Neurospora crassa OR74A: one gene and its partners. The protein of the gene in region 4 purifies or fractionates together with the protein of the main gene of each other region. This does not show direct contact. Links are inferred from orthologs where the notes say so. Each region holds a gene or a part of one and is shown on either strand. Other genes may lie near its edges. The genes, in order: NCU06892, NCU08663, NCU03207, NCU01820, NCU03794 and NCU04799.

Region 1 (4,730 bases), on a different chromosome or scaffold from region 4:
TTCTCCAGCACCTCTCTGCCCGAGACTCTCGAGGTCCAAAGCGCCGAGGTCAACGCCGCCGACGGCTCCGTCACCATCGTCTGGGCCAACGACACCGTCAGCACCAACGCCACGTCCGAGGCCACCACGCACACCTCGACCTACGACGCCTCCGACATCTTTACCTGGCAACTTCCGTACGACCTCGCCGGCAACCTGCTCCCCGTCGAGCGCACGCTCTGGGACCGCTCCAAGCTGCAAGCCCACATCGACTCGGGCGACCTGCGCGTCTCGTACAACGACTGGCTGACCTCCGATGCCGCCTTTTGGAAAGCCTTTGAGTCTCTCGCCCGCTTCGGCATTCTCTTCGTGCACTCGATCCCGTCCGACCGAGCCCTCGTCGAATCCCAAGTCGAAAAGATCGCCAACCGCATCGGCATCCTCATGCACACCTTCTACGGCTTCACCTGGGACGTGCGCTCCAAGCCTCGCGCCGAGAACGTGGCCTACACCAACGTCTTTCTAGGCTTGCACCAAGACCTGATGTACATCGACCCGCCTCCCCGCCTGCAGCTCCTGCACTGCATCTCCAACTCCTTCCAGGGCGGCGAATCTCTCTTCAGCGACGGAGCGCGCGCCGCTTACTCCCTGGAACTCAACAACCCACTAGCCTTTGACCAGCTGCGCGGCAACCGCTCGCCGCAGTTCCACTACCACCGCAACGGCAACGACTACCACATGGGCCGCAACACGTTCCGGTACGCCGGGCGGACGGGCGAAGGCAAGGGGTTTCTGAGCCGGATCCACTGGGCGCCGCCGTTCCAGGCGCCGTTTAGCCGGCAGACGGGCGCCACGGCGACGAACGTGCTCGGCAACCGCGTCATTCAGGACGGCGGCGGCGGTGCTTATGCCGAGAACGAGCATGCGGTGGTGGTGGAGGAAAAGGGCAAGAACATGACCAAGTGGGTGCCGGCGGCCAAGGAGTTTGAGCGCGAGATTAGCGCCGAGGAGAACATGTTTGAGCTCAAGATGAAGGAAGGAGAGTGTGTGATTTTCGATAACTGGCGAGTGTTGCATGGGCGCAGGGAGTTCCAGACGGAAGGACAGGCGGAGGGCGCCGAGAGGTGGCTCAAGGGCACATATATTAGCCATCAGGTGTACAAGGCCATGGAGGATAAGTTGCAGTGGAGGTTGGCGCAGAAGGAAGGGGGGATTCCTTTGGCTATTGGCGTGGCGGAGGCGCATGGGTTGGGCTGGAAGGAGAGGGGGCAGTTGCCCAAGAAGGAGGCTCCTAAGCAGGAGACTACTGCCCCTGTTCAGCCCAAGGAGGAGGCACCCAAGGTCGAGGAGGCACCCAAGGTCGAGGAGACTCCCAAGGTTGAGGAGACTCCCAAGGTTGAGGAGACTCCCAAGGTTGAGGAGACTCCCAAGGTCGAAGAGGTTCCCAAGGTCGAGGGGGCCGGGAAGCCCGAGGAGGCTCAGAATGAGGGTCCTTCGCGCCAGCCTAAGGAGCAATTGGGCACGGTGAACTGGAACGCATAAAGCCGGGCGAGAAGATAGGGTGATCGGAAGCTGTATGATGTGTAATGACCTCTTGGGAGCGAGGCGTATGTAGACTACTGTATATATTACGAGGTTTGATACCAAATCAAGGAACACGAAGAACTCTAGAATCTTGGTCATCTGTGTTTTTCGCCGTTCAGGGGTGTCTAGTTGAATATGTTTCGCAACGTCATGACCTGTGTGTGACGCAGTATCGTCCCGTGTCTGCGGTGGTATTGGTTCTCTAGCCCGGAAACCACAGTCGTTGTTTCGAAGTGTTCAACAGTTGACCATCTTCCTCCACGACTTGGACTGCGCCCTTTTTCCCGTGTGCGGTCTTCCTTTTCTGCCTTCCATAGGCATGAATAAGTCGAGGTGATACCACCATCCTAAGAACCCAGAAGTTCAACTATCCCCCACGCCATCTTCCTCCTCATGCGATCATCTCCAATCTTTAATACGCAGGATCACATCACCATCACAGGAAAAAGCACAAGAGGAACAGACCAAAAAATCCAGGGAAAGGAAACGATGGATCATTGCACTATTTCACCAGCCCAACGACCCACCACAGCACAAAGCCCCTTGAGGCAATTGTTCTTTTTTCCAATTGTTTTTTGTATTGTTTTTCCATTCCCCTGGTCGGGTTCGGTTCGGGTACATGGAACCGTGCTTTCGCAGCAGCTTCTTGCCCCCTTGCCTTGGCCAGTCAAAGCCAAACTTAAGCAGCAATGGTGACCTCAACCTCGACACCGGCCTCGATGTTGACAATGATCTGCTTGACGATCTCGGTGGGGGCGGTCAAGTCGATGAGGCGCTTGTGGATGCGCATCTCGAAGAGATCCCAGGTCTTGGAACCCTCACCGCAGGGGGACTTGCGGGTCTGTTTTGTTGTTGGTGACACGGGTTAGTATGTGCGATCGAAGAAAGGAGAAGAAAGAAGAAGAAGAAGAAGAAGAAGAGGGACGATGGGTGACATACGGTGATCTTGAGGATCTTGGTGGGAAGGCGGACGGGGCCCTTGACGCGCAGGTCCTTAGTCTTGGCGCGCTCAACGAGCTCGGAGCAGACCTTCTCAAGAGCCTGGACCTTGCGGGAGGTGAGGGTGATACGGACACGGTGGACCTTCTGTATTTGGGGCGGGTCAGTTAGTTTTTGTTCCTGTTGTTGTTGTTGATGTCCCCGACCACGGGGGAGGTTTATCATGGCGATGACGACGACGACGACGACGACGACGACAGCGCCATCAACGGGCAAAAACGTACGGGGGCCTCGCCGAAATCCTTCTGGTCCTTGTTGTAGGAAGACATCTTGACTTGGTGTTGAGATGGGTTGGGTCGGGTCGACTCGATTGACTGCTAAGGAGGCTGCTGGGCTGCAAAAAGGTGCCTTCACGACTCGAAGGAGTAGATTGTACGGCTTCGGCAAAGTGATGAAGGCGAAGCTTGGGATTCTGGCGAACTGGAAGTTGAGTTGTTCTGGCGAGCGTTCAACAGACCGTCGAGATTAATTTTTTTACTCCATATTTTGCGCGCGACGGGGGCATTGGCGATTTTGTGGGCTTGGCGTGTGGCTTGCGCTTGTTCGGTTTGGTTTCCTTAAGTTGACCCCGCCCTCAGAGGTGTGGCTGAAGACTGAAAGAACCTTGGGAGGATCATGTGGCTGAGGATCTTCGACGACGGGGGATCGTCCAGCGTAGGTCTTGCCGGCCGGCATCTCCCCGCAATGACACATTCGGCGTAAGAATGAATAGAACGGAAGTCACTTTGTACCTTTCACGACTCCCCGTCCAAGTTGTCCAACCGCATGTCACGGTGGGGCACCATTCAACTTCCATTTCCAACTTCCCATCTTCACTTTCATTTTGTCCCCTTACCACGTCTTGACGATTCTTAATAGACTCGGACTTGTTGATAAATAGACGGGGTTGTCTTTTTGCCTTGTATCGATATTTCTCACTCACACTGTTTACTAGTACGCCACCCCCGTGGTCAGGTCAAGGTCACTGCATCTCGCTCATCGACGTCAACATCTCCAAGTCTTGGCATCAAACACCCTCCTGGCCAGCTGTTTACATATCACACCGTGGCTGATTATGGCCTCCAAACTTCCAGCCTTTGCGCTGTTCCCCCTCGCCGCATTGAGAGACCAATTGCTCCCCGATGAATGGATCGCTTGCCTAGACGCCTGGCTCGTACTCATCGACAGCCACCTCTCGCTTCCTGATGCTACATTCCTCTCCATCTCAGCCAGAGACGAAAGCCTTACCGCATTCCTTACCTCCTTCGCTCACCAAACCGCACTCGGTAGTACCTCAATTCTCGGCCCATCCCAATCAGCAAAGCGCCTACTCAAGGACTCTTTCCTCTTAACCTCACGACTGCTCCGCTCCTCATCGCCACCAGTCCCTCTAACGCAATGGGAATTTCTCTCCGACTTCTGCCGTGTCTACGGCAAGAAGCGATCCTCCGAACTCTTATCGTCCCTCTCCGAGCCTGCTCAAAAGTCCCTAGACGCCTCACTATCCGCCCTCAAGAAGGTCCTCATTAAGAACCTGGACCTCGGTCTCCAAGAAGGCGGCGACCTGAAGGGCGTGGAACAGCGACTGGACCGAGTAAATGACCTCATTGGATCTTCTCCACAAGTAGCCAGTTTCTTCTTGGCCGGTAGCGACTTTCTCGATGGGCTGGTGTCTTGCTACAAGATCATGAACCCTCCTCTCCGCAAGGTGATCATTGCCACGACGTACCTCTGCATGGTTGGGCTGGCGGACGGTAGCCAGGATCAGAAACTGTCTGCTTTGACGGATCAGCTGTATTCTCTCAAAGCGGCGGCGGATGCGCACAAGGCTGGGCCAACGAATGTCAACGATTCTTTAGTGGCCGAGTTGGTCACTTCCACACCATTACTACAACAGCTGCAGCGGAAGTTGGAAAGTGTTGGGTCTGGTAACATCCGAACAAAATCCGTCCTGAAGGAATTGGCAGCCTTCAAAAAACCCGGCGGTGGCATCCCCCGTCCCAAAAGGCTAGTCAACCGCCAGCGCAAGGCAATCGACAAAGGCAAGGGCAAAGACCTCTCCTCCCTCGAGGACACGCAACACCAAGAAATCCACATCCACCGCATGTCCCAAATCTCTCAAATCCAAGATCTCTTCCCCGACCTCGGCTCCGGTTTCATCTCCAAGCTCCTCGACCACTACTCCTCCG
Region 2 (5,186 bases), on a different chromosome or scaffold from region 4:
CCAGTAAGCGGCTGCTATGACAAGACAGAGCATCTAGGTATCTACTAAGAATGCCCCATAACATGCCGGGTACTTGGAATTCCTGGTAACGAATATTTTCTGATTATTCCATTTCACCGCATTTTTACCCGGTTATGAACGGTTTACTACTGACGTCGTATTCGAACGGAATTACGACTGAGTGAATCCAGTGCAGTCAGTGGCCAGCTGTTTTGTTTGGCAGTGACTTCATCGAATGAGGTCCGTACTGGGAGGGGGGGGGTCTTTCGATCTGTACTTAGGCACCTCGGGAACCCCCAATGTTAAACTGGTTACGACTGCCAATTTACTATCAATTAACAATCCCGCCCAGCGAAACGTCCGGATATCCAAACATTTTAAGAATTTGGACTATCAGGTGTCTGTCAAGTTATAGTCAATTAATTACCGAACATTTTGCAAAAAAAACGTTGGGACATTCAAATACTTAAACCGCGCGAGGGATCTAAGTACAAGTCACCAAATTCCTAACTGTCCAAAGACAATTCGCGAAGAGTTTGTAACACCCCCCTCTCCCAGTACTGGTACCAGATAACTTCACTTCGGATTCCGATACCAACAGACGTAGTGTAGAGGTCCACTTTTGCCAAGACCTGCAATGCCTAGAGGTAGCTGCCGTGCCCAAGCTCCTGCGTAAATGCCCGCTGCCCGCCCCTGACAGCTTCCGTCCGCGCGCGGCTTCTTATCTCGCATGTCCCATTATCTCATCCGCAAAACGCCTTCCTTCTACAGACCTCCTTCCAGCTTTCACTCCGAGCTACTGAAAAGATACTACCATTCCGATACCGGCAACCTTGTAGCACTTTAAACAAACCTGCCTTGAAAATGAGTTCCAAAACTCCTGATGACAAGCTTGAGCAGAAGAAGGTCAAGGATCCTCAAGCAGAGGAAGAAAATGATGAATCCAAGCAGGCCGATATCAAATTCTCACCTGAAGAAGAGGCTGCAAGTACCCACGACCAAAAGCAACAACAACAAAGACCCTCTTGATGCCCAAACCTCTGTGACTGACCGCCTCAGCAGGAATTGGTAGCTGAGTCCAACACACACAAAGCAGAGGCAAACGCCCTCTTCACCTCGGGCAAATACGATGCCGCCCTCAACAAATATGACGAAGCCATTGCTGTTTGTCCAAACTACCTGGACTACCCCTTGGCCGTCTTGCGCTCCAACGTGGCCGCCTGTCACCTCATGCTGGAAGCTTGGAAGGATGCCATCACGCACGCAACCAAAGCTCTGGACTTGCTTGACAAGCTAGAGCGGGAGGACAAGCTGGCTGCCGAGAAGGAAGAGAAGGAGAAGGAAGATGTCGAAGAGGAGATTGTCAGCGCTGGTGCAGCAAAGGCCGGACCCGCCGTTCCTGTCACGGAAACTGAAGCGCAGATTGCCCGCCAAAAGCGACTAGAGGATATTGCCAGGATACGGGCCAAAGCTCTGCTACGCCGGGCCCGGGCAAGGAGCGAGCTGGGTGGATGGTCCACCCTCGAGGGGGCTATCGAGGATTACAAGAAGCTATCTGCCATGACCAACCTTACGGCTACCGACCGAAAGCTCGTCCAGGCGCAACTCAGAGCACTGCCGCCCCGGGCCAAGGCTGCTCAGGAGAAGGAGACTGCTGAAATGTGGGGCAAGTTGAAGGACCTTGGGAATGGGTTGCTTAAGCCGTTTGGTCTTAGCACTGACCATTTCAAGATGGTGAAGGATGAGAAGACCGGTGGTTACAGCATGAATTTCCAGGGAGGTGGTGGCGAAGGCAAAAAGTAATGTTGTGAAAGTTAATGAGGGTCAGGGCTCTTGCGATGCCTACCAGCGTCGTGGTTGAGGATGAATGGCTTCTTGATAGTCCAGTCACCCAGCCATATGCACCTCTGACTGGGAAAGCTGATTTTCCAGTCACCTGAAAATATTATCGACCAGTAGTCAACACGAATCGACAGTTCAATGTCAACAGATCGACAAGGGGGGGAGATGATCAGGAGCTCGTACCCGACAGCTGCAATACAGCTGGCCGGAGCTAAAGCTCCATAAGTTTTGAGGCTGATTTATTGGTGTGGCAAAGCCGGCAGTAGAACGCCACAATTGTACGTACTGCTGCACTGGCTTGTGCTAATACCTCTAAGTACCCACGGTAGCCGATAGCCGATAACGAATTGCTTATCAATGCAGCGCGGGGCGATTTGGTGCTGGGCCCATCAAGAAATTTATTGACGACCGTCCCGTCAGCGCCTCCAACGTTCCCCCCCAGCGACTCGTTCTCGTCCTGGTCCATTCAAATTTCCAGTCGTCAACTTCTTTCTCATCCGCAGCAACTTCACTTGTGATTGCGACGGAACTCCCAGGTTTTCCTTTTCACGACATAGCGACTTTTGTTTGTTTTTACAATTGATACCCCGATTCATATCTTGTCGCAAACCACAACTTCATTAATCATGGATCTCGACGCTCCTATGGCCATGGCCCCGTTGATGGGCTCTGCCAGGACAGGTGCTACGTGAGTTTTGACCATGAAGACTGAAGGTTATCGAAGGCATGATTGCTGACACCACCAATAGCATTCTCTGCTGCAACTGCGGCGCTCCCATCGATGGCACATCCTCCGCCGGCGCTCTTTGCTACGACTGCATCAAGTCCACCGTCGATATCTCCCAGGGCATCCAGCGCGAGGCCACCCTCCACTTCTGCAAAGATTGCGACAGATGGCTCCTACCCCCCGCCAGCTGGGTCACAGCCGCCCCCGAATCGAGAGAGTTGTTGTCGCTATGCTTGAAGAAACTGAGGAATTTGGGCAAGGTCCGCATCACAGACGCCAGGTTCATTTGGACAGAACCCCATTCGCGAAGAGTCAAGGTTCAGGTTACGGTTCAGGATCAGGTGGCGGATGGTGTGTTGATGCAGCAAAGCTTCGAGGTCACTTACGTCGTCGCCAGCCAGCAGTGCAAGGACTGCGCCAAGTCATACACAGCCAACGTCTGGCGCGCCGCCGTACAGGTCCGCCAAAAGGTCACCCACAAGAGGACGTTCCTTTTCCTCGAACAGCTCATTCTCAGGCACCAGGCCCATCGCGACACAATCAACATCAAGGAAGAGAAGGACGGTATCGATTTCTACTTTGCCCAGAAGAACCAGGCCGAGGGATTCATCAGCTTCCTGAAGTCCGTCGTACCAGTTCTCACCAAGGAGTCGAGGCATCTTATTTCCGCGGATACACACACCGGCAACAAGTCGTACAAGTACAACTACTCCGTCGAAATCGTGCCTGTTTGCAGAGACGATTTGGTTGCCCTTCCTCTCAAACTCGCCAAGTCCATTGGCAACATTTCTCCCCTTGTCCTTTGCCACAGGATAGGAACATCTGTCAACCTTCTCGACCCCAACACCCTCCAGACCGCCGAAGTCAGCGCCGATATCTACTGGCGTGCTCCCTTCCATCCGCTTGCCGGCACTCCCGATCTTGTTGAGTTTATCGTTATGGACATCGAGTCCACAGGCGTACGAAAAGGAAAGTGGCTTCTCTCCGAGGTCCAGGTCGCTCGTGCCTCCGATCTCGGCGTGAACGACAACGTCTACTTCACTCGCACACATCTCGGCCAGCATCTCCACGCCGGTGACTCGGTGCTGGGTTACATGCTCGAGGGTACCAACTTCAACTCGGACGCGCTCGAGGCGATTGAGAGCTCCAAGGCGTACGGTTCCATGATCCCTGACGTTGTTCTCGTCAAGAAGCACTACCCGAACCGCCGCCGCAACAGAAAGAGAAACTGGAAGCTCAAGCGCATGGCCAAGGACGAGGGCGAGCTGCTGCCCAAGGCTTCGGACCAGGCCAAGATGGATGCCGAGTACGAGATGTTCTTGCGCGATGTCGAGGAGGACGAGGAGCTTCGTGCTGCTCTTGCTCTGTACAAGAACTCGCTCAAGACCAAGAGGGAGGCGGATGCCATGAGCATTGCCGATACCGACATGATGACGGAGGCTGAGGAGGATGGCCCCAAGATCAGCATGGACGAGCTCCTCGATGACTTTGAGGAAATGGAGATTCAGGATAAGGAGTAGGATGTGATCTTGATTGGAGTCTGATATGTGGATGTGAATGGCTTTGGGATTCGGGGTAAATCAAAATTCTGGGAGTTAGCTGTTCTTCAGGGTTTGCGTTTTTAAGGCATTTCATGAATAGATTCGGGAATGGGCTTGCCGTGTTGGCGCCCTCTGCATCCAACATTCTGTTGTCTTTATAGTTGTGAATGCATAGACGTGGTTGAAAGGATGCTACGACCGTCAAAGTACTAAATCAACGAAGATGTGCAACTTGTCATGTACGATGATCTTGGTCAGTCAAGGCCTAGTGTTACACATCTGCTCAAAATGTTTTCCATCCGTCTGTTTTATCTTGTCGCCTTCGGTCATCATCAATTATGAAAACAGGTTTATTTCGAGTCCGGACAAAGGTTCCAAAGCATACAACCCCAGAAAAAGGAAAACATATCACAAAATGCGCGGGGTTTCACAACGATGCAGAGGGGGCCAAGGAACAACTTTGAAACGAAGAGAAAAGATGGAAAAAATAAAACGAAAAAAAGAGAACCAGAAGGTTGATCGTTATCGCTCGGATACCGGGAGTCGAACCCGGGGCTGTTGAGAAAACAGACACTTGTAAACAAGTGAGAGTCAACGATGTTACCGCTACACCATACCCGATGAAGGATGGCTTCCGATTGTTTTATGCTTTTGTCACCAGAGGATGTGTTCTTGAACCGGAAAAGCACGAATTGTTCATGAATTGTGTGGTGGAGTTGAGGGTTGGGTGTGACATGGGTCAGGGGTTCAGTAGTAGGTGGGCTAAAGGCAAAAAGGGAAAAGGGGGTTTGTTTACTTCGTGATAGGTTGGGTTTCTTGGCTCGAGGGTCCCATTTTTCAGAGACTAGGTCTTTTCTTTTTTTTCTTTTCTTGGTGTTTAGGTTATCTCAAAATCCATCGTTCTCATCCCCGGGCCGTCTTCAAGTCAGAGTTTGGCTTGGCGGGTGTTGGTCAGGAAGGTGCGAAGCCCGCACGGAAACTTCTTCCCCTTTCCCTTTTGCTCCTTCCTTTCCTGCAAGTTACTTTCTACCTGCCGGGAAGAGGAGCAGCTCTGGGCAAATACTTCCCAGGAATTT
Region 3 (4,972 bases), on a different chromosome or scaffold from region 4:
AGCAGTTGAATTCCCATCTACACAACGTAGCGTATTCCCAGCCTATTGCAGGATTGCATGATGACCCTTTCAATGACAATAAGATAGCTTCATCGCTTCCCAATCATTCCAAGGATTCTCAATATTCATAAAGTCCAATTCAACCACCCAACCTCCAATTCTTGTAGACCCCATGCCAACGCCTCCCAGCCTCTACTTGTCAAAAGTTCAACCCACTACATCACCGCCTTTTCCTCGTTGATGGTCGGTCTGTAGAGATAGACACACACTCATCAGCCTTAATCCTTACCATTGCAAAGAACCGAAACAACCAGTACCCAAAGGGACATCAAAAGGGATAACCACTTACAACTTATGCAGTACCGTCTTACATCCATAATACCCAAGCCGCAGCCGCAGCCCTCCTGTTCTATCATCCATCTTCTTCTCCATCCTCTTCTCCGCCCTCATGAGCAACACTGGCATCACTGCGTACATCACCGTCCAACCTCCCCAAGCCACGCCTGCCACGCTCTTTATCTCTTCCCAGATCCACCCTCCGTACCCTTCCTCATACAGTACAAAAGCCACCACCATCTCTGCCGAGACCATGAATGCCAGCGCCATGGAGCAGATGGCTAACCTAAAATAGGCGACGCGGGGTACCTCATAGTGGCGGAGGACAAGGTGAGCCCATACTGCTGAGGTGATGGTTAGGAGGATGGTCAAGCAGAGAATGCGGTTGTTGTGGTCGGGGCCAGAGGAGGAGACAAAGTGAGCGAAGGTGGTGATGGGTATGAGTTCAGCATAGGCGATGTAGCCGAGGAGTAGGCTGGTGAGGAAGGTGAGGAGGAAATAGTAGAAGGAGACGCGGATGACGAAAACGGCGAGGGCGATGTCCCAGAGGACTTCGATGATGGAGTCGGTGGTTTCGAATAATGGCCTGGAGCCCTCCATATGCTGTCTTTATACTTATATGGCTTATTGTGTGATAAGGGCGGTGATTTGGCAAAGTGATTGTTCTTGTATATGATGAGGACTGGTGTCACTCCTGTCGATGGTGTGTATGTGTTTGCGTATGTGTGCAGGTGATGATGAGGCAGAACAGACGCCAGTTGAACAGCAGTCGATGTAAACTTCCACTTGTGATGGATGAATTTTCTTTCCCTCTTTTTTTTCTTTTTTTTTTTCACGACATTGGGCTGTAAAGCATCTATATATCCATTGTGACCCAAACCTACACCGAGGCGACGTCGATGCTCAATCTGGCCACAGGAACAAGCCCTCTCAGGGGCCAGGAGATGGGGTGACTTTTGTGGCGTGACACGCTGAGCTGCCATTCCGACAGGTCGTTGGGAAGTGACATGACCAAATAGAAAACCGCTGAGCCACCGTAAATCCCAGGAATTAAGCCATGTCTATTTATTTGCCAGTTATCGTAAGGAACAAAGCCGTGTCAATGCAGTCGTTACAGACATGTGATGTTTACACCACCTCGTCCAAAGGGGGTAGGTGATATACAGTTGAGCGGCCCAGTCGCTGTGTCCAACCCCTGAGATTTACAAACAAGGACGTGCCAAAACATGATGACGACACAATGAAAGGGCATCCAACACGATACAGGACAATATCTAATCTATAATCATATCCCCAAACTCCCGTCGTCGCTTATCTTGGGTATCGTCTGTGTTTGTCTCCATGAAGAAAAAAGGAGTTCGTTGCGCACTGTTTCAGTTGAGTTGAATTGTCCAAGCACGCTAAAGACATGCTTAGAGTTCGGTCTTGGCCAGTTTTTGAGCCAGCTCATCAACCTCCTTGTCCTTAACCTGAACAACTGGCTCCTCCTGAGCCGCCTCGGCTTCCTTGATGAGCTTCTCTGCCCTCTCTTCGACTTCCTCCTCCTCCTCCTCTTCCTCCTCTTCTTCCTCCTCCTCATCTTCCTCCTCAAGGTCGCTCAGGCTATCAAGACCCCACTCGTCCTCGGCGACAACATCGCCACCAAACCGCTCCTTGCGCTCCTCGAGAAGATCTTGCAAAGCAATGATGGCCTCATCGTCCTCGGTGAACTTGTTGCCGTTGAGTTCGATCTTCTTCAAGGCAGGAAGAGCCTCCTCAGCGGCCAGAGCCAGACCCTTAATGCCAGGGGCGGTAATCTCATTGTACTGGAGGCGCAGGATCTCGAGCTTCTTGTTCTTTCCCTTCCGAAGCGCCTCCGACAAAAGGACACCGCCCTTGGCAGAAAGGAGAGAGTCACCGATGCCAAGTTCGATGAGCTCAGTCCAGCCGGGGGTCACCTTCGCAAGAGCCCTAGCTCCCTTGAGGGTGAAGGTGTTGTCCTGGAGGTCGAGAATCTGGAGCTCAGAAGCGTGGTTAAGACCCTCGCTCAGCAAATGGGATATGCCCTCTTGCCGAATACCGTTTTGGACCATCTTGATCTGCTTAACTTTGTTATGGAGTCTGAAAGTCTTAGCCCACGCGGTCATACTGCCGTTCTCCAGTCGGTTACGGCCGCAAATGACGGTCTCGAGGTAGGGAACATCCTGTCCCTGCTTGCGCGCTTCTTCCTTCTTGGCGTGGAGTTCGGACAGAGCGTCGGCAATCAAAATACCGGCATGGGGACCCAGGCCGTTGTTGTTCAGATACAAGTGCTGGAGAGGGACGTGTGCGGCGAGGAAGGCAACAAGGGGCGCCTGGGTGTTGAGGCCGAATGCATTGTCGTTGAGGTTTATCGTGTTCAACTTGGGGAGGTTGAGGATGGAGGTGAGGAGCGAGGAAAGGGCCTCGGGGATCTCGTTGAGCAGACGGCCGGTGAAGATATCGGCAAAGTTGGCAACCTAAAAGGCAACAGGTGATTAGCCGCCGTCCCTTCTTCGTAATGCGCCGGGGCGCATATATGCACTTGAGAACAGCTAGACATACACGAAGAGTCTTCTTGGTCGCGAGAACCTCACCAAGCAACTTGCAAGCGCCGACGCCCAAAGTGTTTCCCAAAAGGCGGACTTCCTCGACATCGTCCATGGCCCGGAGGGGGGCAATATGGGCCTCGAGGTCCTCGGCGGTGTCGAGCTTCAGACCTTTCCCCTCGAGGGAGAAGACCTTGGTAGAGACGGTCATTGTGTAAGATGTGTGTAAGAAAAAGCGGGCTTGGTTTCGGGAAGAACTCGAGTAGCACAAAGCAGACGCGAAGACGGTGGAAGCGGGAGGGAGATGGAAATCGCGTTGACGCGGTGGACGAGTGCAGGATAGATATGCAAGTGCGCTCAAACAGCCCCGAGTTCTAGCGGGGGAGGGGTTGACAAAAACTGCCACAGCGGCCGGGTCTAGGCGCTTCTCGCGCCTGTACACTAGGCGTCTTATGCTGTAGTGGGGGCATCAGTTAGGCAGCTAGCGAATGGGATGACGCACTTGCTTGAGATGAGCTGGTCATGAAGCCTCGGGCAGGGAGATCATGAAACAGAGGGAGACAGGGAGGCGATTGCCCCCCATACACCACACTGAAACGGACGAAAATCTGGGGCTCGGTGGGAGCCCAGGCAGGGATGGGGCCTGACCTCTAAGCCAGCCAGCTCAGGCGGCCGCCAGCTGTCGCAGGTTGCGCTTACCACTTTGCTGATAACGGTCACCCTGGCGCGATGGACATCGCCCTTCTGAAAGATGCGGCCGACGGCACCAGCAGGCGCACGGGGGACCCAAGACCCAGCCGTGGACGGGGCAGCTCCGCGTCGACAAACCTGGGGAAAGGAATGAGGAAGGTCCGAATTCTTACCTACATACACAGTAGACACAGCTGCTTCTTCGATCCAACAGTCCACCTCAAATCCCTCCTGCTCGACTATTCATTCGAACTTCGAACAACCTAGGTAGCTCGCACAAAACCCCAAGCAGATCAGGGCCACACGGTAACAATTCAACGCGGACCTCGTTACGAAACGACATCCGACATCAACTCGTGGCGCGACGCCATTCACCACCATCGCCAACTGTCGTCCGCAACTACGGCGCATTATCACCACATCTCTTCTTCTTGAACATATCCGCCTTGTTTGAAGGGGCGTACACATTGAGAGAACAAAACAACCCGATCTTCTACACACGAATCATTCAGCTACAATGACTAGAGAACACTCTCCTGCGGATGACTCGCCGCTGTCATCAATGGCGTCGTCCGACGAGGAAGAGATTTTCGCGGACGAGGTGCCAGAAGCCGTCGACGAACCAGAGGAGCCCCCCACAAAGCGTATCAAAGTTACCAGCGGGTCGACAGCCTCGTCGGCTGTTATCCAGGAGCCCGAGGCAGACCCAGACTTTCCAGACGGCATGTCCGATGTCTCCTCCGATACTGATGGCGACATCCCGAGTTCCCCAATCAATGCGCGACAAGACGAAGATGACTTCCAGGAACAAGTCACTGTCTGTGCTTGGGAAGGTTGCAAAGTTGGGGATTTGGGAAATATGGATAGGCTCGTTGAACACATTCACAACTCGCACATCGAAGGTCGACAGAAGAAGTACACGTGCGAATGGATCGGGTGTAGCAGGAAGAGCTTACCGCATGCCAGCGGCTATGCGCTCAAGGCGCACATGCGATCTCACACGAGGGAAAAGCCATTTTACTGTTATCTGCCAGGTAAGCCGCCCTCCTTTGGCAGTCGGAAGATGGATGGCCTTCTAATCCTTACGTGACGTACCAGAATGCGACCGCGCTTTTACACGTTCCGATGCCCTAGCCAAACATATGCGGACAGTCCACGAGACCGAAGCTCTACGGCCTTCTGACCCGGTGCCCAAGAGTATGCAAGCAGGGGGCGGTCCGGCTGGAAAGTCAGCCAAGGTAAAAATCATAATTCGAAGGCCGGATTCTCATGCGGCCGGACAAGACGACTCGGTTGACGATGCTAGCGGCGGAGACGACGGGGCTGATTTTACACCCTTGACCGAAGACCACGGTTTCACTACCAAGGAACTCGACATGCCGCTCGACAGGTTGATGAAG
Region 4 (3,454 bases):
ACAAGTGTCTATCTTCCTCGATAGTTTATTCCCTTGTCACTACATTCCGCGTTCAGAAAAAGGATAGAGCATGTTTGACACTACTTGAGATTAGAGGAGCACACAATTCTGCCTCAGGAGATCCATTCTTTTGAGACACAAGTAAAGTGGCAGGAGTAAACTCGCAATAGCAGCAAAAGAAGAGCGGGAAAAAGAGAGGGGGAAAGAGAGAGAGAGAGAGAGAGAAAGGAGAGGTACGGCGATTCTCACATAGACGGGCGGGCACGAAAAAGCCAAGCCAAGGGGCTATGACGACAGACAAGAGAAAGTAAAAGGGAAATAAAAGAAGGTGAAACTGAAACTGAAAGTGGGAAGGTAAGTGTATGGAAGTTCATAACCCACAATAACTTGTACATATATATATACGTATGTGTAAACATCAAAGAACTGAACTCCCGCACAACAAGTACTAGACTCAGACCCACATATATCGAATTACAAGGGAGCAAGTAAACGATTAAGCTCACAGTAGAAACCCAAAGGGAACGTCTTGATACTGATAACTCCAAATTAAAGCCTCAAGTGACGCAAGGAAGACATAACCGGGTGGGACAATGTGAACGGAACAGAAAGCGAGGTAACTCCAAACGCGGGATAGGGAATGCCGGTCTGATCCAGTCCGATTGGGAGACGTGAGCCTCGAGAGACGGGACGCGAAACGCCTTGTGTAAATCTGAAAGAGGAAGGAGAGGAGGGTTGAAAAAGAGAAGATGCAAAGTAGATGGAAACCCAGTCCAGTCAGTTCACCAGGTAGGTATAAAAGTCAATGCCGTGACTCAATTAGTGAGTGAAAACACAACTCAAAGTAAAAGGTGATCACTAGCTTCAGATGAGACCAGTTCTGGAGTGTGAAAAAAAATAGACACCTGCTGTTCTGGTGGACGGACTGCAGTGCGTCAAGAGAACGATCGAATATTGGACAAGTGTCTAAACTTGTTATCGGTATGTAGTCGGCATACACTGAAGCGTCTTAGCACCAGACCACTGCAAAGGATGTGCGCAGGAAGGCGAGCAATGAGGGCACCACGCACCAACTGGCTACTTTGCCGGAACAACCAAGTCGGTCAGCAACACCTTCCCCCCATTGTCGTGTTGTTGACTACTCTTCACAAGTATCACCCTTGAATCTCCGGATGTGAACCAGACAAGCGTACTGCCACCCACCCAATCTTCTTATGATTAATAACACAAAAAGTGAGAGGAACAGATACAAGAGGCTGGCAGCATGCTACTCATTCAATAGTATTTGGCTGATTCTAGCGGGTCGGCTCTTGATAAAATGCCGGGTTGGGTTTCATACAAGAAATACGACTGATTTGGTGACTTACATAAACACAAAAAGAAAAAAGAACGCCGCCATATTTCATTTCACAGACCATAGAACTCCCATCCATCGCCACCGAATTGGTCGTGATCCTTGCCGCCGCCGCTTCTTTTTCCTTTCGTCATATCACCAGCACCAGCCAGCCCATTCATGTGTGGCTGCTCTGGTGGTACGTCATTTCGGCGCGACTCGTAAGTCGGCGCAAACTCATTCCTAAGCTCCTCTCCAACTAGTCACAGCTCATCGTCCTCGAGCTCGCTGGGTTTCAGCAGGCCGCTGACCTTGGATCTCCTCTCGATATCGGCCGCCTTGGCCGCCGTCTCTTGCTGCTCCTTCTCCAGGAGGTAGAGCTCGGCATTGTCGCCGGCGAATTCTCTAAGGGAGATAAGGAAGTCACGCAACGCGAGGCGGAACTTGTCGTACTGGGTGTTAAGGGTGAAGAGTCCCTCAACAAACGAGGTAATCTGGGCACTGTTTTGCACTTTTGGTTAGCTCGGTACCTTACAAGGTCCGAAGGTGGGGAAGAAAACTTACGGCGTGAGGTTGGCAAAAGCGGTCTGCAGCAGATTACCCACGAACATGGTGAGGAACTCCTTGTTGCTAGTGCCTGGCTGGGCCTGATCGGGCTGGTAAATGGGGCCCTGAATCCTCGAGGGCGAGCCATCGGCGGGGTGGACAAAGTAGAACATGCGCATGAGCAACATGGACTGGGTCTTGAAGCCAGCCTTGTGGTCCTGGTCGGTTAGAACGAAGAACACATCCTGCAGAATGCTGACAAAGAATTGGTTGAAGAAAGCGTTGGAGGTCTGAACGTCAGTCTTCTCAGCAATGTTGTTGACGAGCTCCAGGCACATGTTAAGGCCCGCAGTCTCAACGTCGCGGTTGTCGTGCTTGCTAGCCCACATGCACGAATCAATAACAAACTTGAACTGACGGTTATCAAGCTTCAAAAGCGCAGGGAAGCAGTGAAGGTTGATAGCGCGGAGGAGGTTGAAGAACTCGACACGGTGTTCGGGGTATTCGGAGAAGTTCTTGTTGATCATGTCCAGCGTGCATTCGAAGACATTCTCCATGATGATCGGTACCTGGTCCTCCATCAAAGCCGAGAGCTTAGTGATCATGGCGGTCATGGCCCTCAAGACTTCAGCGTCACGAGCACCAGGAACGTTACGGTTGTAGTCAACAAGCACCGAGTCCAAGAGAGGAGGCACCATCTGCTCCCGCACGGCCTGGAGGTCCTCAGCCTTGTCGACATAGGTCTCAATAAGCTTGAGAATTTCCTTCTTGATGGTTCGGAGCCCGCGGACCTTGGGCATCTTGGTAGCAATCTCACCCTCGCGAGCAACAGCCTCAGAAATCAGCTGACTGGTGGCGGCATACATCTGAAGCATGTCGCTATAGAGGTTGCCGATCTGAGGGAAGAAATAGGTACCAATAGATGAGCATGCCGAGACGTTGGTCTTCATGATGTTGCCAATAACCTTGATGGTGTCCGCATCCTGGAGGATGTTAGGGTTGAGGCTAGCTTGCCTGATAATCTCCTGCCACGCCATATTGGGAATCTGCATGAGCTCAGAAAGCAGCCTTTCCTGCTGGTGCCTATTGCCTTGAGCAGCTACCATGTAGCCGCAAGCCTCATAGAAAGTATGTACCTGTTGAGGAGTCAAGTCGCAAGTGATCTTGCCAAGGTCCCTGATGATCTCCTCAATGAAAGGCTGAGACTCGCTAGGCTGGAGCGCAACAAAGTGGCGTCTGCAAGACTTGGCAATCTTAATAAAAGTATCGCAGGCCATGTCCTGGACACCCTCGTGAGACTCGTGCATGAACTCGAACAGCTTGTTGACGACCGTCTTGAGGAACTTCCAGTGCGCCTTGAGGAAACGGGGATACTGTCCGACAATGTACATGATGTTACTGGCGACGACGGCCTTGTTATCTTTGCCCCGCTTCATTTCGGTCAGTCCAAGAAGATCCTTGATAACAGTAACAAGGAACCTCTTCTCCGTCTCTTCGTTCATGGCGAGAGAAATAGAACCAATAGCCCAGCAGAGAACGTTGCAGTTGTGCCATGACCATTCGGATCCATCGACT
Region 5 (5,221 bases), on a different chromosome or scaffold from region 4:
CGTCCATCGCTGGTCTTAACATCCTTCTCGGAGCCGATAACGGCAAAGGGCATAGCGGCCATCAAGCTGCGTGCGTGTTGTGCGGCAGCCTCGTCATCCTCCTCAATAGGTGGCTGGTAGATCTTGATACCCTGAGCTTCGATGACGGCACGGATCTAGAAGTCATGGTTAGCGATGATGGGTGGTATCTTCAAGTAAAGGGAAAAACCTACCCTGGACTTGAACCTCGCCAGGTCGGCAGGGCTGAGAGTGTCGGCCTTGGCAATAACGGGAATGAGGTTGACGCGAGAGCAGAGTCTCTTCATGACCTCGATATCTAGGGGCTTAAGCGTGTGGCCGGTGGGGCGGATGAAGTACAAGCAGGCGTGGACACGGAGATCAATCTTGTCCTGACGGCGGGGTTGTTGCTCCTGGAGCATGTAGGACTCGTGCTGGTCGTCGAGGAATTCGATAATGGGCATCCACGAGTCGCGGTTGTTGACGTAGTCACCAAAGCCGGGGGTGTCGATAACAGTCAGGCGAACTATAAGCTGGTTAGACAGAGCTCTCCTACAAGACACCAAGGTCCCCCTGCGTGATGTGCTGTCGTACCCTTGAAGAACTTCTCCTCGAGCTCAGCCTTTGTGATTTCGATCTCGACGGTCTTGTCGACCTGCTTCTGGTGGCGCCTCTTGTGGTCGGCATAGTTCTTGATGGTCGTGGAGAACAGCGTGTTGATGAAGGTGGTCTTGCCGAGGCCGGACTCGCCAGCAACCTATCCACCCACGCCGTCAGCATTGGTTTTACAAGCGCGAGGTTCGGCAAGCTTTGGACAGTGAAGCGCACCATAATAGTAAAAGCAGCGCCTCTCTTAGCAACAATCTTGTGTCGCTGGTTGGGCAGATTGGCAATGCCAATCGGTGAGGCGCTCTCGGTAGTGGCAGGGGCCATCTTCAGCTGGGCGAAACACGAAACTGGGAGATAATTATGGGTAGAGGATTAAGTCACGATCCCGTTGCTGTAACGGCGAGAAGAAGCACCGGCAATTGGAGAAAAAGAGCGTCAGGCGGGATGCGTGGTGTACGGGTATGGTGGTGGTCGTGAATGGGAATCGAAATTAGGTTGGTGTTGACAGTGGACGGGTGGGAGCGAGAGGCAGACGGGGGATGGAACTGCAGTGGTGAGTGGACGGGGGACCCGTCGTGGAGCTCTGTGCTTTCGTTCAGGGGAATTTACTTGTTCAAATTTCCACACCACATTCATCTGGCCCAACCCAGCACCACACACCCACGCAGGAGAGAGCACCAGCGACGGGGACGGGAGCGCCAGGCCAAACCTAGCCCACACTGACTGAACCCCAAGCACTCCAGGCACTGCAGGGCCGCGGCAGCAGACGGACGGAGCAAGCAGCGAGCAAGCAGCATTCGATTCCATCCTCCAGATGAGGTGCCTGGGCGGGGCCACGGCAGCCGTCTGTGATGATGCCGAGAAGGCGCACGGTACACGATCCATATAATCCAATGGCACCTTTCGAGCCCGGCATTCTGCAGTAGTGTAGAGCTGCCACCACACAAGGCCGCTCTTGACTGGCTGCGCGGCAGGGAAATGAGTGGACCCTCCCCTTTTCCACTTGCTTCCCACACTTCCCCAATTCCAGGTCCCCAGAGACGGACCTACGCTGGCAGCTCTCCACTGAAACGCGCTTGCCAGGTACCCTCGCCGAGCATTTAATCGATGCGTGCCTTCCCTGCTAGCGCCATTGGCGGTGATCAGCCATTCATTGCCATGGAAACTTGGTCGACCCTTTGACCCTTTGATTGCCAGCTCTGCCAGCCTTGCACTGTGCTTGGTGACCGTGCTTGGTGGTGCCGTGCAGTGGTTGGTCTCGCTGCGGTCGGTGAGGCTGCCAGATACGCCAAGTCTTTTGCCAGCTGGTGCCAAAGCGAGGAGCTAACCCGACTCCATTCCCCGCCAAAAAGTTTATGAAATTTTTGGCTGGCAGAATCGCCATTGAACGTACGGGCGGTCTAGGCGCAACAGCAGCAGCCTGTAACTGAACTTCTGTTCCACTTACCTATACAGACTCGAAAGAGTCCTCCAGTTCCTGTACATAATCGAATCCCCAGATACTATCCCAGTTCTGCTCCATCTCCAACGTTGACAGTCGAGGCATGGAATAGTGTTTGAAAATGAAGACCGACTTCAAGTTTTCTAATCTACTGGGCACAGTCTACTGCCAGGGCAACCTCTTGTTCAGCCCGGACGGTACCCATCTCTTCTCGCCCGTTGGCAACAGGGTGACAGTCTTTAACCTTGTCGAGTACGTCTCAAGATTCCCTACACACCTGCCTGGCGCATGGCTTGTAAGCTGGCTAACACGGTCGCAGTAACAAATCATATACCCTTCCCTTCTCCCACCGAAAGAACATTGCGCGTATCGGTCTCACGCCCCAGGGCAACCTCCTACTCTCCATAGACGAAGATGGCCAAGCTATTCTCACCAACGTGCCCCGGCGCGTAGTACTATATCACTTCTCCTTCAAGGCTCCAGTAACGGCTCTCTCCTTTTCGCCATCGGGGCGCCACTTCATTGTTGGACTCGGCAGGAAAATCGAGGTTTGGCACGTTCCCTCAACACCCGACGCCAACGCCGACGGCGAGCTCGAGTTTGCGCCCTTCGTCAAGCACCATACCCACGTCCAACACTTCGACGATGTCCGTCACATCGAGTGGTCCCACGACTCGCGATTCTTCCTCACATCTTCCAAGGATCTCACAGCAAGGATATGGAGTGTTGATCAAGAGGAGGGGTTCACACCTACAGTTCTGTCCGGTCACAGGCAGGGTGTCGTGGGCGCGTGGTTTTCCAAGGATCAAGAGACGATTTACACAGTCAGCAAGGACGGCGCCGTATTCGACTGGCAATACGTTGCGAAGCCTGGACAGGACGAGGATATGGTGGACGACGATGACCTGGCCTGGAGGATAGTCAACAAGCACTATTTCATGCAGAACAGCGCCACCGTACGATGCGCCGCTTTCCATCCCGAATCGAACTTGCTGGTTGCCGGTTTCTCGAACGGTATCTTTGGCCTCTACGAAATGCCCGACTTCAACATGATCCACACTCTCAGCATCTCCCAGAACGAAATTGACTTTGTGACGATCAACAAGAGCGGCGAGTGGCTGGCGTTTGGCGCATCCAAGCTTGGTCAGCTTTTGGTGTGGGAGTGGCAGTCCGAGTCTTACATTCTCAAGCAGCAGGGCCATTTCGACTCGATGAACTCCCTCGTTTACTCTCCGGACGGTCAGCGGATTGTCACAGTCGCCGATGATGGAAAGATTAAGGTGTGGGATACGGAATCGGGATTCTGCATTGTTACCTTCACAGAGCACACGAGCGGCATCACTGCTTGCGAGTTCTCCAAGAAGGGCAATGTCCTGTTTACCTCGAGTTTGGACGGTTCCATCAGGGCTTGGGACTTGATCAGATACAGAAACTTCAGGACCTTTACAGCACCAGAAAGGCTATCTTTCTCTTGCATGGCAGTTGATCCTAGTGGCGAAATCGTGGCGGCTGGCTCCGTTGACTCTTTCGACATTCATATTTGGTCTGTCCAGACTGGCCAGCTCCTAGATCGTCTTTCGGGACACGAGGGCCCTGTGTCATCCTTGGCCTTTGCGCCTAACGGCGGTCTTCTTGTGAGTGGTAGTTGGGACCGCACTGCCCGTATCTGGTCCATCTTCAACCGCACACAAACAAGCGAGCCTCTCCAGCTCAACTCGGATGTTCTCGACATTGCCTTTAGGCCAGATTCTCTCCAGATTGCCATCTCCACTCTCGACGGCAACCTGTCGTTCTGGTCGGTCTCGGAAGCTGAGCAGCAAGCTGGTCTTGATGGACGCAGGGATGTCTCCGGCGGTCGGAAGATCGGTGATCGCAGGACTGCGGCCAATGTTGCCGGTACCAAGGCTTTCAACACCATCAGATACAGCACAGACGGATCGTGCCTTTTGGCCGGCGGAAACAGCAAGTATATTTGCTTGTACTCCGTCACCACCATGGTTCTCCTGAAGAAGTACACCGTGAGCGTCAATCTTTCAATTCAAGGCACTCAAGAGTTCCTCAACAGCAAGCTTCTCACCGAGGCTGGACCCCAGGGTCTCCTGGACGAGCAAGGCGAGGCCTCCGATTTCGAGGACAGGATAGACAGGTCACTCCCAGGCTCCAAGCGCGGCGACCCCTCCGCACGGAGGAAGAATCCCGAAGTGAGAGTAAACGGCGTTGCCTTCTCCCCGAACGGAAGTGCTTTCTGCGCCGCCTCCACAGAAGGTCTTTTGATCTACAGCCTGGACACCACCATCCAGTTCGATCCCTTTGACCTCAACATGGAGATCACCCCCACCTCTACCCTGGCCGTGCTCGAGAAGGAGAAGGACTACCTCAAGGCTCTCGTCATGGCTTTCCGCTTGAACGAGGCCGGTCTGATCCAGCGTGTCTTCCAGGCCATCCCTTACACCGACATCCCTCTGGTGGTCGAGCAGTTTCCCAACGTGTACGTTGCCAGGCTGCTGCGGTACGTTGCCGCGCAGACCGAGCAGAGCCCTCACGTTGAGTTCTGTCTTCTTTGGATCAAGGCTCTGGTCGACAAGCACGGCGCGTGGTTGTCTGCCAACCGCGGCAAGGTCGATGTTGAGCTTCGTGTTGTCGCAAGGGCTGTTTCCAAGATGAGGGATGAGATCAGGAAGTTGGCCGATGAAAACGTCTACATGGTTGACTACCTCCTCGGTCAGGCGAGCGCTGCTAAGGAGACTAATACCACCAAGACCTTGGCGCTTGAGTGGGCTACCACCGGCTCGGATGAGCAGCCGGGCGCTGGCGGTATGAGCTTGAACGATGTCATGCAGCAGGATGAGGGGAACGCCAGCGAAGACGAGTGGATCGGTTTGGTATAGGTCCTAGGATTTAGAGTACTATAGGATTTTTGTAACGGTAAGGAAGGGTACCACACATAGGATAGGCGCTGATACGGAAAATGTTTGTCAACCGGCATTCTAGTTTATAACTTGTACAGATGATTTTGATACCAATTCATGGCAATAGAGAAAATAGGGGTTTTGGGATACAACTACAACGCCATGCGAAACTGTGTGAAAGCAATGCCATACCCCCTTAGTCCAACATTTGTGGATTGCTAGATGCCTTTTACTCGACATTGGGAATATCCTCCCATGCCTCATC
Region 6 (5,369 bases), on a different chromosome or scaffold from region 4:
CTTGTTACATGACCGGGTTCTAAAACATTCGCTCTGTTACTGTCTCGAGAGCGAAAAGAATGTGTTCCCTAAGATGCCCGAGCTTAACCTCCCCTTCTGTGAAAACGCGGCTGAAGAAACCCGACATTCCGGACCAATTGCAGATAATCACTTTTGGCCAGTTTTCCCTCCCTAACCGTAAACGCCAAATCGTTGATAAAACATAAGGAACATAATCATACCCCTTCAGATGGCCAACCCTGTATGATGCGACACCACGCTCCATCACAAGGAGAGAAAGAAAAGGCAAGCCTGTCAATACATGAGGATGACTTTGAATCAATATCATATCGAGATACTGCTTGTAAAAGTCGTCATGCACACAAGGAACAAACTGCACCCCACCTGCTGGAGATACTTTTTAAAATCCATCCACTGCCAATTCGGCCATCGCACCGTGATGGGGTTGCATGGGATCGGGAGAGATTAAATCATAATTGTCGTCAAGCGAAGTGTGGTATCAAATAAACTTTTCCGGACCCCCCGTTGCGAGATCGACCCTAGAGAGTTGAATGGAGAACATGAAGAAACATCTGAGAAACACCTATGCCGGTGCGTGGGAAATCATCCATCGCTCAGGGCACATTTAAGCCTTCTGCTCCTCCGGCTTCTGCTCCTCAGCCTTGGGCTGCTCGCCGTTGGCCTCAGCGGGCTGCTGGGTGGGCTGCTGGCCCTGAGTCTTGAGGTACTCGTCATACACGGCAAGAGCCTCCTGGACCTTGACGTTAAGAGCGTTGTCATCCTCGAACCTACAGAGAGACAGGTTAGCGATATGTAGAAGAGTCAGGAATAGACATGTAGACTTACAGGTTGATCAGCTCAGCGTTGTCCATCTCGAGGAGCATGCCGGTGATCTTGCCAGCAAGAGCGGGCTGGATGGCCTGGATCTTGGGGAAGAGGTTCTCGCCAATGATCTGCTTCTGGGCCTGAGGATCCTGAGTGGTAGCGAGCTGAGCCTGGAGGAAAGAGCCAGCGCTGAGGTCGGCAGGAGCGCCAGGAATGGGGGAGGCACCACGGCCGGCAGCCATAAAGTTAGCGTTGCCGCGAGGAGTGCCGCGACCGCCACCGTTCTGGGGACGACCGGCAGGGGGGTAGCCGGGAACGGCAGGGCCGCCCTGGAGACCCTGGGGAATACCGGCGGGGATGCCCTGAGGACCCCGGCCAGCGGGACCGCCACGGCCACCACCAAGAGCACCAACCTGGCCCATAGCAGCCATGTACTGAGGGGTGTTAGGAGGGAAAGCACCAGGGCCGAACTGGTTGATGGGGTAACCCATAGGGGGCATCTGCTGGGGAGGGACGCCACCGCGGCCACCCTGCTGGTAGGGGTACTGGCCAGGGCGACCACCCTGAACGCCGGGGACGATACCACCCTGGGGGAAGGGGACGCCACGACCGCCGGGGGCGGGCATGAAACCAGGCTGCTGACCAGCGTAGTAGACAGGAGCCTGCATGTACTGCTGGGGCATACCAGCCTGGGCAGCGGCCTGCTGCATGCGGAGCTGGTTGCGAGCCTGGATGCTGGCCTCAAGCTGGCTCTTGCGGACATCCTTGCGCTGGGCAAGAGCGACGTAGAGGGGCTTGCCATCGACCATGCGCTGGTTCATCTCAGTGACGGCCTTGGTGGCATCATCGGGGTTGCTAAAGCAAACGAAGCCGAAGCCCTTGCTCTTGCCGAGCTTGCGGTCACCCTTCTTCTCAGTCTTCTTCTCAGAGCCCTCATTCTGCTCCTCCTCCTTGGTCTCACCCTCCTTCTTGTTCTCCTTGTCCTTCTCATCCTTCTCCTCGGAGCCCTCGATCAGAGAATCGCGCATGACCTTGGCGGAGGTGATGGGGCCATACTCAGAGAACATGGCACGGAGCTTGTCGTCATCGACATCATCGCCGAGGTTCTTGATGTACAGGTTGACACCCTGGTACTTGTTGGCCTTCTCGAGGCGGGCAGCCTCGTAGGACTTGCGGAGCTCCTCCTCGCGCTCGTGCTTCTTCTGGGCACGGCCGACGTAGAGGTCCTGGCCACGGAAGTCCTTGCCGTTGAGCTCATCAACAGCCTGGGCAGCAGCCTCGTGGGTGGTGAAGTTGACGAAACCGAAGCCACGGGACTTGCCCTCCTGGTCACGGGCAAGGGAGGAAGAAGTGACCTCACCGAACTTGGCGAAGAGCTCACGGAACTCCTCGTCGGTGACCTCGTTGTTAATGTTCTTGACATAAACGTTGGTGAAGTTGGCCTTCATCTCCTCGAACTTGCTCTGGCGGTCCTTCTTGGGAATGTGGTGGCCAACGTAGACCTTCTTCTCGTTCAAAAGCATGCCGTTGACGTGCTTGATGGCCTGGGAGGCAGCCTCATCGGTCTCGTAGTGGACGAAACCGTAGCCCTTGGAGTTACCGTGCTCATCCTGGGCAACCTTGCAGGAAAGGATGTTGCCGAAAGCAGCAAAGGTGTCGTGAAGAGCCTTGTTATCAATGGCAGCGTCGAGGTTCTTGATGAAGATGTTGCCGGCACCGGTCTTGCGGAGGGCGGGGTCACGCTGGGACCACATGATGCGGCAAGGGCGGCCCTTGATCAGGGTGTAGTTGAGCTCCTCAAGAGCCTTCTCGCCGTCAGCGGTGGTGTTGTAGTTGACGTAGGCATAGCCGAGGGAGCGACGGGTGACAGCATCGCGGCAGACACGAATGGAGGCGACAGAGCCGATCTGGGAGAAGAGCTCGAAGAGCATGGCCTCGGTGACGGAGGGGTCAAGCTCGCCGACATAGAGAGAGGCGGAAGCCTGGGGGTGAGGGGCAGCAGTGGGGGTAGGAGCAGCCTCAGCACCCTCGGCCTGGGCCTCGGGGACAGCGCTGGTGTCGATGGGGGCCGGGGCAGCGGCCTTGTTGTCGAGGCTGGTGTTGCCGAGGTCAGCGGCGAGCTGGTCGACAGCGGCGGTAGAAGTGGCAGCCATTTTTGCTGGTTAAACTGTAGATTCTGTATGATGGATGGAACTGTCAGCGTCCGTATCCTTTTGTGTGTGTCTGTGTCTCTGATCAAGGCGCCGAGGGGTAACCGATGTGTCGACCGACGACGACAGCGGAAAGGAGGAGGAGAGGACAAGTCTCAATTGACGTGACGTTGGGCGGGCGGCACTGGCGGCGGCCACGGCGACGACGACAACGACGATGGCAAGGCAGGAGGAATTGATAGTGCGACGAGCAACGTACCCGAGATCTAGAGTTGTGTGGAGCAAGTAAAACCGGCGCGGAGAACGGGCGACGGTATTGACAAAGAGGGAGGATGAACTCGACTGGTCAAGGACGAGATTCGGGAGAGGGAGAGGAAGACTGGTGGACTTGGAGACTTGGGTAAATGTCTTCCAAAAAAGGTGGGTGGATTTGGTGGGTTTTATGGGGTTTTGTATGGATGGGGGGGATTTCTCTTTTTTCGGCGATTTTCAAATTTTTTTGGTGAGGTTTTGTTTGTCACAGACAAGAAGTAGATAGAACAGAGACCGAGAGGGTAAATGTTCGTACTTATCTGACTTCTTTCTGGCTTCGGTTTGGAGGAGTTTCCTGAGGATAAAGGGCGTGAGGTCCGCTGAAGAAAGAAGAGGAGGAGAAAGAGGGCAAGAAGCAACGACGCCCGGATGGCTCACGTCTTAATGCGGAGGTCAGATTTTTTTTCTTTCCCGCCCACGCATCTTGTGGTTGCGCACTGTGCCGCGCCCCTCGTAGCCGGTGAAGTGCGGCTAGGGCGGTCAGGGCATGCGGGTATCGGGGTGGCATGGGCTGCAAAACCTTGATTTATCGATAGGACCCGCCAGGAATTCTCGCATAAAGGCATCCATCCACCTGTGCAGACTGCAGACCAGACCGGAGATCCAGCGAAACGTGCGACTTCCAACTTTGCCTGGCACTTCCACTTGCTCCCGGGCCACCACCTGAGATCAAGCATACTTACGGTACTGTGGTCGACCATGGCTGACGACGACTCATGCCAACAACAGGCAGACATGGGCACTTATTCATGAACCCTGGAGGGTTGTTATGAAACCCTGCGTTTCAGCCGTACCTATTTGGTATAAACCGGCGAGATTCACTTGTATTGAATCACGGGACATTCCATCTCAGTTGGCGGTTGGAGTTGAAGATGCAATAGGTTACAGCGGTGTGCCGGATTTTGGCACTGGGTCGCTGGCATCTGTCCCATCACCATGGAACAATGCTAACGACCGCCTTACCTTTCTGGAAGTCCGCTAGCAAACGGCATTGCTGCTGCATTCGTGCCACGGGCATATTTCACACCAGACAAAAATAGAGAAGTAAAACGGATGTCCTGAGTATCAGCATTCGCAGTCCATTTCACCTGCAAAAAAGACATTGTTGGCAAAGCCGCGCACGGAACCTTGGATGGGGCAACTTGGCCGGATGACCTGCCAGGATGTTGCAGTCATATACTGGTTAGCCAGCGGCAAAAACCAAAGTCTGGAACAGGGCATCTTGGGTACTCGAACAGTTCGAGCGTAATGACACATCCTAACATTTCGACGAAAAGGTTTTGGTCCTGATGGCGGCTGCTGTCTGTTGAGGTTGGTCCCATTGTGGTGATTGGTCCCTGTGCCGGGTCAAGTCTAACATGGAAAAGAACAAGATGTCAAGATCGGCTTGATACAAATACCCGAACCAGTCCCACCCGAGTTGCTGCTGGGTTCATCTGGAAAAGGAAGGAACTCGTATGAAGATATTCATATATCAAGACTACCTCCACCACCGTTAGCGCAGCAATTGGCACGGCGGACACCACAATCACTCAATCAAGAAGTCAAGTGAAGTGGAAGGAACCAAGGCGGGAGCAGGCATCTGACGGACGACGCTGCTTGGCTGTGTCCCAGACTAGCCTTGCCAGCCCAGGGCTTGTTTGACCTCTGGCCTTCGTGTTTGTGAGTAGGCCGGGGCGGGCATGGGCCATAGAACCCGTATTCATCGTCATTGAATTGGACATCAAAAAGGCACCATCCTGTTGTAGTTGATGGACGACAACAACCATTCAGGATTCTCTTCAGGTATAGAATCCTTACATAACTCTTCATTCGCCCGGACGAGCAATGTGCTCGAGATACCACCAGTCTTGTTACCTAGAGGTACCTCTATGTACCATGCTTCACATGTTTCAATGGATGTCATCGATGCCCAGCCTGCCTGCCCCGGGCGATAAGATAACACAGACAAAGGAAAGAGGGGTCATCTCCCAAGGCACCTCGCTGTACCTGGATTCCTGCTGAGGTACCTACCTCGACACTCAATCATGAGATCTACCACCAGAAACCTTTTGATGCTCAGCGCCGACGTTAACGTTCCGA

The links.
Region 1: the proteins of NCU01820 (region 4) and NCU06892 purify together in Saccharomyces cerevisiae (affinity purification with mass spectrometry; 3 studies listed by BioGRID). This does not show direct contact. The link is inferred for Neurospora crassa OR74A from reciprocal best matches to the Saccharomyces cerevisiae genes CRM1 and RPS20.
Region 2: the proteins of NCU01820 (region 4) and NCU08663 purify together in Saccharomyces cerevisiae (affinity purification with western blotting; 3 studies listed by BioGRID, with this or other methods). This does not show direct contact. The link is inferred for Neurospora crassa OR74A from reciprocal best matches to the Saccharomyces cerevisiae genes CRM1 and NMD3.
Region 3: the proteins of NCU01820 (region 4) and NCU03207 purify together in Saccharomyces cerevisiae (affinity purification with mass spectrometry, with the first as the bait; 4 studies listed by BioGRID). This does not show direct contact. The link is inferred for Neurospora crassa OR74A from reciprocal best matches to the Saccharomyces cerevisiae genes CRM1 and RNA1.
Region 5: the proteins of NCU01820 (region 4) and NCU03794 purify together in Saccharomyces cerevisiae (affinity purification with mass spectrometry; 3 studies listed by BioGRID, with this or other methods). This does not show direct contact. The link is inferred for Neurospora crassa OR74A from reciprocal best matches to the Saccharomyces cerevisiae genes CRM1 and PWP2.
Region 6: the proteins of NCU01820 (region 4) and NCU04799 purify together in Saccharomyces cerevisiae (affinity purification with mass spectrometry; 3 studies listed by BioGRID, with this or other methods). This does not show direct contact. The link is inferred for Neurospora crassa OR74A from reciprocal best matches to the Saccharomyces cerevisiae genes CRM1 and PAB1.

The regions. Positions count from the first base shown.
Region 1 is NC_026507.1:682,845-687,574, forward strand, and holds NCU06892 (40S ribosomal protein S20), read right to left. Parts: upstream 3,073-4,730; 5' UTR 2,832-3,072; coding exon 2,787-2,831; intron 2,650-2,786; coding exon 2,503-2,649; intron 2,405-2,502; coding exon 2,243-2,404; 3' UTR 1,522-2,242; downstream 1-1,521. Other genes in the region: NCU12046 (gamma-butyrobetaine dioxygenase), read left to right, coding at 1-1,521; NCU06893 (hypothetical protein), read left to right, coding at 3,617-4,730. UniProt on the Saccharomyces cerevisiae protein: Component of the ribosome, a large ribonucleoprotein complex responsible for the synthesis of proteins in the cell.
Region 2 is NC_026504.1:4,179,566-4,184,751, forward strand, and holds NCU08663 (60S ribosomal export protein NMD3), read left to right. Parts: upstream 1-2,201; 5' UTR 2,202-2,468; coding exon 2,469-2,530; intron 2,531-2,591; coding exon 2,592-4,089; 3' UTR 4,090-4,400; downstream 4,401-5,186. Other genes in the region: NCU08664 (tetratricopeptide repeat protein 1), read left to right, coding at 865-984, 1,063-1,803. UniProt on the Saccharomyces cerevisiae protein: Acts as an adapter for the XPO1/CRM1-mediated export of the 60S ribosomal subunit. Unlikely to play a significant role in nonsense-mediated mRNA decay (NMD).
Region 3 is NC_026501.1:4,905,524-4,910,495, reverse strand, and holds NCU03207 (ran GTPase activating protein 1), read right to left. Parts: upstream 3,421-4,972; 5' UTR 3,094-3,420; coding exon 2,899-3,093; intron 2,814-2,898; coding exon 1,749-2,813; 3' UTR 1,371-1,748; downstream 1-1,370. Other genes in the region: NCU03208 (hypothetical protein), read right to left, coding at 216-249, 350-936; NCU03206 (C2H2 finger domain-containing protein), read left to right, coding at 4,090-4,606, 4,671-4,972. UniProt on the Saccharomyces cerevisiae protein: GTPase activator for the nuclear Ras-related regulatory protein GSP1 (Ran), converting it to the putatively inactive GDP-bound state.
Region 4 is NC_026502.1:2,299,083-2,302,536, reverse strand, and holds the end of NCU01820 (exportin-1), read right to left. Parts: coding exon 1,898-3,454; intron 1,835-1,897; coding exon 1,597-1,834; 3' UTR 1,256-1,596; downstream 1-1,255. UniProt on the Saccharomyces cerevisiae protein: Receptor for the leucine-rich nuclear export signal (NES).
Region 5 is NC_026505.1:2,436,767-2,441,987, reverse strand, and holds NCU03794 (periodic tryptophan protein 2), read left to right. Parts: upstream 1-1,994; 5' UTR 1,995-2,168; coding exon 2,169-2,299; intron 2,300-2,366; coding exon 2,367-4,935; 3' UTR 4,936-5,105; downstream 5,106-5,221. Other genes in the region: NCU03795 (cell division control protein 12), read right to left, coding at 1-155, 213-523, 592-754, 826-930; NCU03793 (hypothetical protein), read right to left, coding at 5,186-5,221. UniProt on the Saccharomyces cerevisiae protein: Required for bud-site selection and cell separation. Also involved in nucleolar processing of pre-18S ribosomal RNA.
Region 6 is NC_026506.1:863,062-868,430, forward strand, and holds the start of NCU04799 (polyadenylate-binding protein), read right to left. Parts: upstream 3,649-5,369; 5' UTR 3,235-3,648; intron 3,002-3,234; 5' UTR 2,979-3,001; coding exon 847-2,978; intron 789-846; coding exon 626-788; 3' UTR 1-625. UniProt on the Saccharomyces cerevisiae protein: Binds the poly(A) tail of mRNA. Appears to be an important mediator of the multiple roles of the poly(A) tail in mRNA biogenesis, stability and translation.